Linked DNA regions of Stegostoma tigrinum. The protein of the gene in region 3 interacts with the protein of the main gene of each other region in a pairwise test. Links are inferred from orthologs where the notes say so. Each region holds a gene or a part of one and is shown on either strand. Other genes may lie near its edges.

Region 1 (3,747 bases), on a different chromosome or scaffold from region 3:
TGTGAGTTTAAACATTACCTGGTATCCTGATAATTTCCTAAAAATAGTTCAAATGTCCATGCTTTCACCAATTCCTTTTTTGTTAAACACAAACTGGGCCTGGCGGGAAGAAACCGTGAGTCAGATTTAGGCCTTCTTTTCTGAATGCACTCATCACGTGGCATTGCATGCATTGGACCTATATCTGATCCCTCCCGGTACCACTTCCCTCTTGGCATCTCCAAGACAGTTGTCATGAGCTTCTTGACACCAATGTCTCTTCTGCTGGTAATAGCCTATAAAATATCTAATGAAAGGTGTTGCAAACTGTTTGGATGTCCAAAGTGTCTGATACAGTGATGTCCCCACCCCTGGTCTAGAAGATCTGTATTCAAGTCCCACCTCAAGGTTTGAAGGTCATGGGGTTGTGTCACAACATAACGAAACAGCCTGCTTAAAACAAAACACAGCTCTGGTTGGAGATATTGGGGCGGGGGGGGGGGATGTCATCACATGTCCTCTCACTTTCAACACCAGGCACTGTTCACCCCCAACATGTTGATCATCACGGTGCCTGAATCTTGCATGACCTTCCAATGAGTTGATTGGAAGAAACTGTTCTGTAAAAGGTTTGAAACACACCAGTCACATACTAGACGTACTCATCTTTTTTACATCAACATGGAGAGATCAGTCTGTTCATTTCCAAGTATTATTGATTTCTTAATTTAACAGACTCTTCTCTCTGGGAGATTTGAAGTGCTTTGCAAAAGAGGCAAGTGTGATGTAAGAAATAAAAACTTTTCGCACAGCAAGTAGTTTGGTTCTGGAAATACACTATCAGCAAGTACGCGAGAGGCAGGTTCGACTGAGGCAATGAAAGAGGACATTATTAAAATCGAAAGAACGGGCAGGAGACAAGTCATGGTAACAAAGTGTGAAGCTGGATGAACACAGCAGGCCAAGCAGCATCTCAGGAGACAAGTCATGATGCTCAGGGAGCCAACGCAGGCATGATGGGCTGAATGGTCTCCCTCCACTGTTCTCTGATTCAACGATCCTTGGTTCACTCAGGCTTTTGAAAATCTGGCCACCCGACCCCCAAACCCACCCCTGACCGCTGCCCATTGGCTTCGTCTCGCCCCTGAACAGGGCTCACCCTTTCATCTCTGTCTGTGCCGTCCTCCTGGAGATTTTACTGCAAACACCAATACTGACTGTCAAGACGCACCAGAACCTGGCTCCCACCCCAGACCTGTTGTTGTTATTAATCGTGTCAAATGTCTCTGTGGTACCTGCTGTAAAAGATCCTTGGCCATTACTCCACGGGGCTCAGCTGCACAACTCTGAAGGTTCGCTTACGGCCTTTCGCCGCCGAGCTGTCGGTCTCCGTGGTAACCGCCACCCAATATGGCGGCGGGAGGGTGAGAGGTGAAGGGTTACGGTTCCCAGCAGGCCCTGCTCCCAGCCTTTGGCGCTCCTCCCCGCGTGTGTCGGTCTCTGACACAAAGTTCGTCCCGTTCCGGAGCAGCCGTCATTCCGTGTCCGTGTCCGAGCCGAGCCGTCCCGTTCAGACCATCCCACTTCCTTCCGACTGTCCCACAGGCGCCGGCATGGTGAGGGAACCTGCCGCGTACACGCACAGCCCGGGGTGGCGGAGGCTGGGAGCGCTTGCGGCCTGGTCCGTGAGGCTGCACCGGCACTGAAGTTAAACCCTCCCCCCGAGCCCGCATCGCGAAACCGTCCCGGGGGCCGGGGGGGGGGGGAGGGTGGTGCGTGGGTATTGATCTGTAACTTCCCTCCCTCATCGGAAAGGTGTGTTCGGGTGGGGGTGGGGGTGCGGTCTGTTTCCCCGACCTCCCCCCACCCCCACCCCCACCCCCACCCCCACCCCCACCCCCCCTCTTCCCCCACCCCCCCTCTTCCCCCACCCCCCCTCTTCCCCCACCCCCCCTCTTCCCCCACCCCCCCTCTTCCCCCACCCCCCCTCTTCCCCCACCCCCCCTCTTCCCCCTCCCCCCCTCTTCCCCCTCCCCCCCTCTTCCCCCTCCCCCCCTCTTCCCCTTCCCCCCCGACACCCCCCTCTTCCCCCCCCCTCTTCCCCCCCCCCCTTCCCCCCCCCTCTTCCCCCCCCCCTCTTCCCCCCCCCCCTCTTCCCCCCCCCCCTCTTCCCCCCCCCCTCTTCCCCCCCCCCCCTTCCCCCCCCCCCCTTCCCCCCCCCCTCTTCCCCCCCCCTTCCCCCCCCCTTCCCCCCCCCCCCTTCCCCCCCCCCCTTCCCCCCCCCTTCCCCCCCCCCTTCCCCCCCCTTCCCCCCCCCCCCTTCCCCCCCCCCTCTTCCCCCCCCTCTTCCCCCCCCCCCTCTTCCCCCCCCCTCTTCCCCCCCCCTCTTCCCCCCCCCTCTTCCCCCCCCCCTCTTCCCCCCCCCCTCTTCTTCCCCCCCCCCTCTTCTTCCCCCCCCCTCTTCTTCCCCCCCCCTCTTCTTCCCCCCCCCCTCTTCTTCCCCCCCCCTCTTCTTCCCCCCCCCCCTTCTTCCCCCCCCTCTTCTCCCCCCCCCCTCTTCTCCCCCCCCCCTCTTCTCCCCCCCCCCTCTTCTCCCCCCCCCCTCTTCTCCCCCCCCCCTCTTCTCCCCCCCCCCTCTTCTCCCCCCCCCTCTTCTCCCCCCCCCCTCTTCTCCCCCCCCCCTCTTCTCCCCCCCCCCTCTTCTCCCCCCCCCCTCTTCTCCCCCCCCCCTCTTCTTCCCCCCCCCCTCTTCTTCCCCCCCCCTCTTCTTCCCCCCCCCCTCTTCTTCCCCCCCCCTCTTCTTCCCCCCCCCCTCTTCTTCCCCCCCCCCTCTTCTTCCCCCCCCCTCTTCTTCCCCCCCCTCTTCTTCCCCCCCCTCTTCTTCCCCCCCCTCTTCTTCCCCCCCCTCTTCTTCCCCCCCCCTCTTCCCCCCCCCCCTCTTCCCCCCCCCCCTCTTCCCCCCCCCTCTTCCCCCCCCCCTTCCCCCCCCCTCTTCCCCCCCCCCTCTTTCCCCACCCCGACACCCCCCTCTTTCCCCACCCCGACACCCCCCTCTTTCCCCACCCCGACACCCCCCTCTTTCCCCCCCCCCGACACCCCCCTCTTTCCCCACCCCGACACCCCCCTCTTTCCCCACCCCGACACCCCCCTCTTTCCCCCCCCCGACACCCCCCTCTTTCCCCCCCCCGACACCCCCCTCTTTCCCCCCCCCGACACCCCCCTCTTTCCCCCCCCCCCGACACCCCCCTCTTTCCCCCCCCCCGACACCCCCCTCTTTCCCCCCCCCCGACACCCCCCTCTTTCCCCCCCCCGACACCCCCCTCTTTCCCCCCCCCCCGACACCCCCCTCTTTCCCCCCCCCCCGACACCCCCCTCTTTCCCCCCCCCCCGACACCCCCCTCTTTCCCCCACACCGACACCCCCCTCTTTCCCCCCCCCCGACACCCCCCTCTTTCCCCCCGACCACCCCTCTTTCCCCCCGACCACCCCTCTCCCCACCCCGACCACCCCTCTCCCCACCCCGACCACCCTTCTCCCCCCCCCCCACCCCGACCACCCCTCTTCTCCCCCCCCCCACCCCGACCACCCCTCTCCCCCCACCCCGACCTCCCCTCTCCCCCCCACCCCGACCTCCCCTCTCCCCCCACCCCGACCTCCCCTCTCCCCCCACCCCGACCACCCCTCTCCCCCCACCCCGACCACCCCTCTCCCCCCACCCCGACCACCCCTCTCCCCCCACCCCGACCACCCCTCTCCCCCCACCCCGAC
Region 2 (3,747 bases), on a different chromosome or scaffold from region 3:
CCACCACTATAGACATTTTTCCCTCCCCACCCTTGTCTGCTTTCCAGAGAGACCACTCTGTCCGTGACTCCATTATCCGCTCCACTCTCCCCTCCAGCCCCACCACACCCGGCACCTTCCCCTGCAACCGCAGGAAGTGCTACACCTGCTCCCTCACCCACATCCTAGGCCCCAAGATGACTTTTCACATCAAGCAGATGTTCACCTGCACATCTGCAAATGAGGTATACTGCTGTTCGCATTGTGGCCTCCTCTACATCGGGGAAACCAGGTGGAGGCTTGGGGATCGCTTTGCAGAACACCTATGCTCAGTTTGCAATAAACAATTGCACCTCCCAGTCACGAACCACTCAACTCCCCCTCCCATTCCGCAGATGACATGTCCATCCTGGGCCTCCTGCAGTGCCACAATGATGCCACCCGAAGGTTGCAGGAACAGCAACTCATATTCCGCTTGGGAACCCTGCATCCCAATGGTATCAATGTGGATTTTACAAGCTTAAAAATCTCCCGTCCCCCCACTGCATCCCAAAACCAGCCCAACTCATCCCTGTCTCCCTAACCTGCCCTTCCTCCCACCTATCCCCACCTCCCACCTCAAGCCCCACCCCCATCTCCTACCTACTAACCTCATCCTGCCCCCTTGACCTGTCCGTCCTCCCCGGACTGACCTATCCCCTCCCTACCTCCCCCACCTACACTCACCTTTCATGGCTCCACCCCCGCCTCTTTAACCTGTCTGTCTCCTCTTCACCTATCTTCTCCTCTATCCATATTTGATCCATCTCCCCCTCTCTCCCTATTTATTTCAGAACCCTCTTCCTCGCCCCCATTTCTGATGAAGGGTCTAGGCCTGAAATGTCAGCTTTCCTGCTCCGAAGATGCTGCTTGGCCTGCCAGCTCTACACCTTGTTATATCGGATTCTCCAGCCTCTGCAGTTCCTATTATCTCTTATGCAGACGATGATGTGTGTCTAGAATTTGCTGTGTGAGTTGGTGATGGAGGCAACGGCTCTAAACTCTTTTCGAAAGTCCCCGATCTGCGCCTGAAGTGCTGTAATCTGCAAAACTATGGGTTGTGTGCAGGAAGGTGGGATTGCAAAGGCATTTGGGTCAGCACAGGCAGGATGGACTGAATGGCCCCTGCTGTGCTGTTTCATTGCTCTGGTTAGACAGCAACCCACCCACACCTTGTAAAGGTTGAAATTAGGAAATGGGTAACAAGTCTTGACCCTGTAGTCTCTGAGACCCACCTCATGCCCCTCCTCCCACTTTGGAGGTGAAATTGAGAGAAACAGCGCCCCCCGCTGCTCTCAATTCCTCACCGCAGGCCCAGTACGGCACGCATGCGCAATCTGCCCGCGGGACATCATTTTCTCCCCCCCCCCCCAGCACATGCGCAGTGGGCTGACGCTGGGAGAAGTTTCCAGAAGCGGAGTTTCCGTCCCCACGACTCATTCTCGGAGACGGCGCCATGATCATCCCGGTCCGCTGCTTCACCTGCGGCAAGGTGGTCGGCAACAAGTGGGAGGCTTACCTGGGCCTGCTGCAGGCCGAGTACACGGAGGGGTGAGTAACAGCCGGGGGCGGGGTGGGCGGGGAGAGGCCTGGGGCCTGGGGCCTAACAACAACAACAACAACACCGGCCTCGGGCAGCGCCCGCACCTTCCATCCAGACTCTGGCCGGACTCACTGGGACAACGGGGAGGCCCGGTGCCACGATGAGTGCAAAGCCCCGGGTTAATGTTCCGGGGAAACAGGTTTGAACCTGGAGTGAAGAGTCTGGTGATGAACCCCTTGCCAGTTTGTGAGAAAACCCCACCTGGTTCGCTAATACCCTTTGGGGGGGGGGGGGGGAATCTGCCACCCACACCATGGCCTGGTCTACATGTGACTCCAGACCCACAGCAGTGTGGGTGACTGGGCTCCCCCCTCTCTGGGCAACTAATGCTGGTCAAGCCAGTGACACTCAGGTCCCGCGGGTGAATATAAAACAAACTTGGACAGAGCGCCAACAGTGTCAGCCTCAGAGATAGTAGAAACTGCAGATCCTGGAGACAGTGAGATAACACCGGCCTGGAGCTGGGTGAACACAGCAGGCCAACCAGCATCAGAGGAGCAGGGAAGCTGACCTTTCGGGTCTGAGCCCTTCTTCGTGACCCGAAACGGTACCCTTCCTGTTCCTCCGATGCTGCTTGGCCTGCTGTGTTCATCCAGTTCTCCACCTTAGTATCAGCCTTGGTCGAATTTATGAAAAGCCAAGATATGGCCAAGTGGTACATCTGTATGAATTAGGAGTCAAAGTAGGGAGTATTGACCCTTGAGCCAGATGTTTGGAATGCTGTGAACTGATTTAGAACCCTTATCAACAGAAAGACACGTTGCCATTGCAGGTGATCCAGAGAAGGCTCTTGAGGCTGATCCTGCTTGTGGAGGGATTTTCTTGAGATGTTGAGTTGGCTCAGCCAGAACACTGGACTCAGAAGATTGGCTGGGTGGCCTCATTAAAGCAAAAAGTTATTGGAAGGTGGGGACGTGGTGTTGGCATGACGGGTTGGATGCTAAGAAGTTGTTTCTCCATCTTGGAGAGTCTAGGACTAGAGGGTATAATGACAGACTAAGGAATTGCTCAGTTACACCAGAGTTGAGGAATCTCTTATGAGGGTAGTGAATCTGGAATTCTTTCCCACAGATTCTCTTGCTCAAGTTTGAGACACAGATTTTTAATCAGTAAAGGAATGAAGGATTGTAGGGAAACAGCAGGAAAATGGAGTTGAGTTATCAGATCAACCATGATCTCATTGAATAGTGGAGCAGACTTGATGGGCTACATGGCCTTGTTCTGCTCCTGAGACTTACAGTCTGTTCTGTAATTCAATAAGATCATGAGATAAATTGGGAAGAGACATTTTATACACCCACAGTAGGGTGGTGGAATGTGTTTAAAAAACAGTTTGTTCAATCAGTTACGAATTTTAAACTGTGGTTCATGCAAGTCCCCAAATAAGGATTAGGGGCAAAAGTCCCTCTATGGAAGCATAGTCATAATACAGCACAGAGAAAGGCTTTTTGGCCCAACAAGTAGGCTCGGAACGTCAGCTCTTGAGCTCCTAAGATGCTGTTTGGCCTACGGTGTTCATCCAGCTCCACACTTTGTTACCTAATTATTCTAATCCTGTTTTTCTACATTTGGCCATAGCCATGTATGCTTTGGCATCGCAAGTGCAAATCTAAATATTTAAATATTACAGTGCCTCTACCTGCCAGGTCTGCAACCTCATGGCCCAATATATCCCCAACTCTTAGTAACACCAAGCAGGGGATCAACCTTAGGTCAATGCAGAGTGCAGTAAGGTGTGTCAGAGCATTTCCACGTTATCCTAAAAGTGAGCTGTCAACCCGGTGAAGCTATGAAACAGGACTATTTACAAATCAAGAGGCATAAGCAGCAAGAGATAGACAAAGCTAAGTGATTCAAAACCAGCGGAATCAGATCTAAACTGTACAGTCTTCCTGTATCAAGTCATGAATGGTGGTAGATAATCAACGTCGCCCTTGAAGAGGGGGCTCCACCATTATTCCCAGCACCAGCGCAGAAGATAAGGCTGAAGCATTTGCAACCATCTTCAGTCAGAAATGCTGAGTGGATGGCACATCTTGGCCTCCAGTGGTCTTTGGCATCTCAGATACCAGTCTTCAGCCAATTTGATTCGCTGCATGTAATGTTCTTTGTTGATATCACAGCAC
Region 3 (3,747 bases):
ACAGTGGGAGGAAACCAGAGCACCCGGAGGAAACCCACGCAGACACAGGGAGAATGTACACACTCCAGACAGAGTCGCCCAAGGGTGGAATTGAACCCGCGTCCCTGACGGTGTGAAGCAGATGTGCTAATCAATGAGCCACCATGCCAACCACGGTCTATACTGTCTTGCAGGGCAAACAGTCTCTGTACATATCCCTTGTCAAGTCCTATAAAAATCTTATATATTTCAAGGAGGTCACCTCTCATTCTTCTAAACTGCAACAAGCACTTGTCCAACGTACTCAAACTCCCCTCACAAGATAGGTTCTTCACATTCAGGATCAACCACAGGAACCTTCTCCAATGCCAATATATCTTTCCTTAGACAAGGGACCACAACTCATCACAATATTCCAATTCTAGTTTGGATCGTTTTAGCTAAACCTGCTATTTTTATACACCATTCCATTTGAAATAAAGGATCTCATCTATTTCACTTGTTACCTGCTGAGCTTGGATGATTTTTTTTCCTGATGCAAACAATAGGCCTCATAAATCCCTCTGTTCTATAGGTTTCTACAGTTTTTCTCCACAATGTAATATTCAGCTTCTCTATTCTTCCGAAGAGGATAGCCTCATTTCCCCACATTATATTCCATCACTCACATAACCTATCTATATCCCTCTGCAGACTCTCATCCTCACAACCTGCCTTTCCATCTATGCTTGGCACTTTTTGAGACCGCACTTGGAAATCTTATATTTAATCCTCTCATCCAAATTACAGACATAACATCAATGTGGAAGGAAACTACTGCAGTAGTTGCATGTCGATGCAACAATAACACGAATGGGGAAATACGTAGAAAATGTGCAGAGAACAGAGGCTCAGTGCTTGGTGGCATTAGGTAGTTCTGTCCAAACCCAAAAGAACTGCGGATGCTGTAAATCAGAAACAAAAGCAGAAGTTGCTGGAACAACCCAGCTCGTCTCTCACTACCTCCATTCCTCATCCCTCTCTCCCAATTCTTCCTCATCTGTCGCGTGCCATATTTCCCCCTCGCAGCTTTCCCCTCCCCCATTCGGACCCTGCCCATTCCCCACACTCTCTGCCCCATTCCCCCCCTCACACTCTGCACCCCCCAACCCTCCCACATTCCAGATCTCCCCCCCATTCCACGATCACTCTATCCTGTCCCCCGATCACCCCCCGCCATTCCCACACACCCTCCAATCCCACCCCCAATCCAACACACACAACCATTCCACCTCCCTGTCATTCCATCCCCGGCCAATTCAACCCCCATTCTCCCCCCTGCCAATCCCACCCCCACGCCAACCCACCTTCTTGCCATTCCAACACCCACTATCCCCCTGCAAACCCCACACCCACTCCTACACCCACGCCATTCCACCTCCCTGCCATTCCAGCCCCCAGTATTTCAACCGCCATTCTCCCCGCTGCCAGTCCCACCCCCATTCCCCCACCCCTTGCCCTTCCACACCCCCACCAATCCCACATCCACACCATTCCACCTCCCTACAATTCCAACCCCACGCCAATCCAGCCCCCAGCGTTTCAACCCCCATTCTCCCCGCTGCCAATCCCACCCGGATTTCCCCAGCCCTGCAGATCCCACACCCTATTCTCCACCCCTCGCCATTCCACACCCCAGCAAATCCCACACCACGCCATTCCACCTCCCTACCATTCCAGCCCCCAGCTTTTCAACACTCATTCTCCCCGCCACCGATCCCACCCCAATTCGCGCACCTGTGCGATCCCACATCCATTATCCGCCCCCCCCCCATTACACACACACCACCAATTCCAAAACCCCCCACCGACCCCACCCCCATTCCCACACGCCCACCGACCCCGCCCCCATACCCCCCACCATTCCCACCCTCATTCCCATACACCCGCCGACCTAGCCCCCCATTCCCACACGCCCGCTGACCCCACCCCCATACCCCCCCACCAATCCTGCCCCCATTCCCTCCCACCATTCCATCACCCCCATGCCCACACCCCCACTGATCCCACCACCGACCGCCAATCCCACCCCCATTGCCGCCCCGGCACCCCCGATCCCGCCCCCATTCACCCCCCCCCCGCCGATCCCGCCCCCATTCACCCCCCCCCCGCCGATCCCGCCCCCATTCACCCCCCCCCCGCCGATCCCGCCCCCATTCACCCCCCCCCCGCCGATCCCGCCCCCATTGCCGCCCCGGCGACCCCGATCCCACACCCCCCGCCGATCCCACCCCCATTCCCACACCCCCCCCCCGCCCCCACCTCATTCCCCCCGACCCCCGGGACCTGATGCAGTCGTTGTCCCGGACCAGGTGGATGCTCTCGTTGGGGGGCAGGAGGCAGCTGTCCACAAACAGGTGGAGGCGGGTGCTGCTGGCGCTGAAGCCGAAGCGCTGACGGATGATACTCTCGAGGTCGGCCACCACCCGGCAGTGCTGGGGCTGCACCAGTAACCAGCACATCCTGGAGGCCGGCAGCAGCGGCGGCGGGTACTCGAACACCAGGCGGACACGAACCGCCGCCATCTTAGAGGGCCCCGGCTGCGCGCGCAACCCGGGCCGGGGGGCGGGGCCTAGTACTACACACACCCACACACACTCCTATTGGTCCACACGCTGTGACGCCATTTTGCCCGTGCAGTGGTTGGATGGAGTGCTGTCACTCATGGGGAGGGCGGGATCTGGGTTGGGGCCCCGAAAGTGAAGGATCCGCAGGAATGGGGAGGGAGAAGAGGCCATTCAGCCCATCAAAGCCCCTCCCTTCAATAGGATCATTGCTGAGTGTTTGATGCAGATTCCACATTCTCTTCCTGTTGTTGAATACAACACTTATACTTAATTTTATTTACGCTCAGGTGGAAGCTTTACACAATCTTGTGAATTTTGCAAACTTAAAACCAACAGGTAGAGTCCATAATTAAGAAAGCGAATGTAATGTTGTCGTTTATCTCAAGAGGGTTGGAATATAAAAGCAGCGATGTGCTTCTGAGGCTTTCTAAAGCTCTAGTTAGGCCCCATTTAGAATACTGTATCCAATTTTGGGGCCCACACCTCAGGAAGGACATACTAGCCCTGGAGCGTGTCCAGTGGAGATTCACACGGATGATCCCTGGAATGCTAGGTTTAACGTATGATGAACGGCTAAGGATCCTGGGATTGTACTCATTTGAGTTTAGAAGGTTGAGGGGAGATCTAATAGAAACTTACAAGATAATGTATGGTTTAGAAGGGGTGGACGCTAGGAAGTTGTTTCCGTTAGTCGGGGAGACTAGGTCCCGTGGGCACAGCCTTAAAATTAGAGGGAGTAAATTTAAAACTGAAATGAGACGACATTTCTTCAGCCAGAGTGGTGGACTTGTGGAATTCATTGCCGCAGAGTGCAGTGGAGGCCGGGACGTTGGATGCCTTCAAGGCAGAGATCGACAAATTCTTGATCTCACAAGGAATCAAGGGCGACGGGGAGAGTGCAGGGAAGTGGTGTTGAAATGCCCATCAGCCATGATTTAAATGGCGGAGTGGACTTGATGGGCCTTACTTCCACTCCTATGTCTTATGGTCTAACACTCCCTCAGCACTGACCCTCCGACAGCACCCGCTCCCTCAGCACTGACCCTCCGACAGCGCCCACTCCGTCTGCACTGACCTTCCGACAGTGAGGCACTCCCTCAGCACTGACCATCCAACAGTGCGGCACACCCACAGTGCTGACCCTCCAACAGTGCGGCATTCC

Evidence for each region.
Region 1: the proteins of coil (region 3) and snrpf interact in binary tests that used the Homo sapiens proteins (3 or more experiments, as listed by UniProt). The two-hybrid records come from large-scale screens. The link is inferred for Stegostoma tigrinum from reciprocal best matches to the Homo sapiens genes COIL and SNRPF.
Region 2: the proteins of coil (region 3) and polr2l interact in binary tests that used the Homo sapiens proteins (3 or more experiments, as listed by UniProt). The two-hybrid records come from large-scale screens. The link is inferred for Stegostoma tigrinum from reciprocal best matches to the Homo sapiens genes COIL and POLR2L.

What each region holds. Positions count from the first base shown.
Region 1 is NC_081378.1:51,004,288-51,008,034, forward strand, and holds the start of snrpf (small nuclear ribonucleoprotein F), read left to right. Parts: upstream 1-1,370; 5' UTR 1,371-1,592; coding exon 1,593-1,595; intron 1,596-3,747. UniProt on the Homo sapiens protein: Plays a role in pre-mRNA splicing as a core component of the spliceosomal U1, U2, U4 and U5 small nuclear ribonucleoproteins (snRNPs), the building blocks of the spliceosome.
Region 2 is NC_081391.1:22,282,198-22,285,944, forward strand, and holds the start of polr2l (DNA-directed RNA polymerases I, II, and III subunit RPABC5), read left to right. Parts: upstream 1-1,394; 5' UTR 1,395-1,474; coding exon 1,475-1,569; intron 1,570-3,747. UniProt on the Homo sapiens protein: DNA-dependent RNA polymerase catalyzes the transcription of DNA into RNA using the four ribonucleoside triphosphates as substrates.
Region 3 is NC_081375.1:3,303,367-3,307,113, forward strand, and holds the start of coil (coilin), read right to left. Parts: upstream 2,560-3,747; 5' UTR 2,544-2,559; coding exon 2,281-2,543; intron 1-2,280. UniProt on the Homo sapiens protein: Component of nuclear coiled bodies, also known as Cajal bodies or CBs, which are involved in the modification and assembly of nucleoplasmic snRNPs.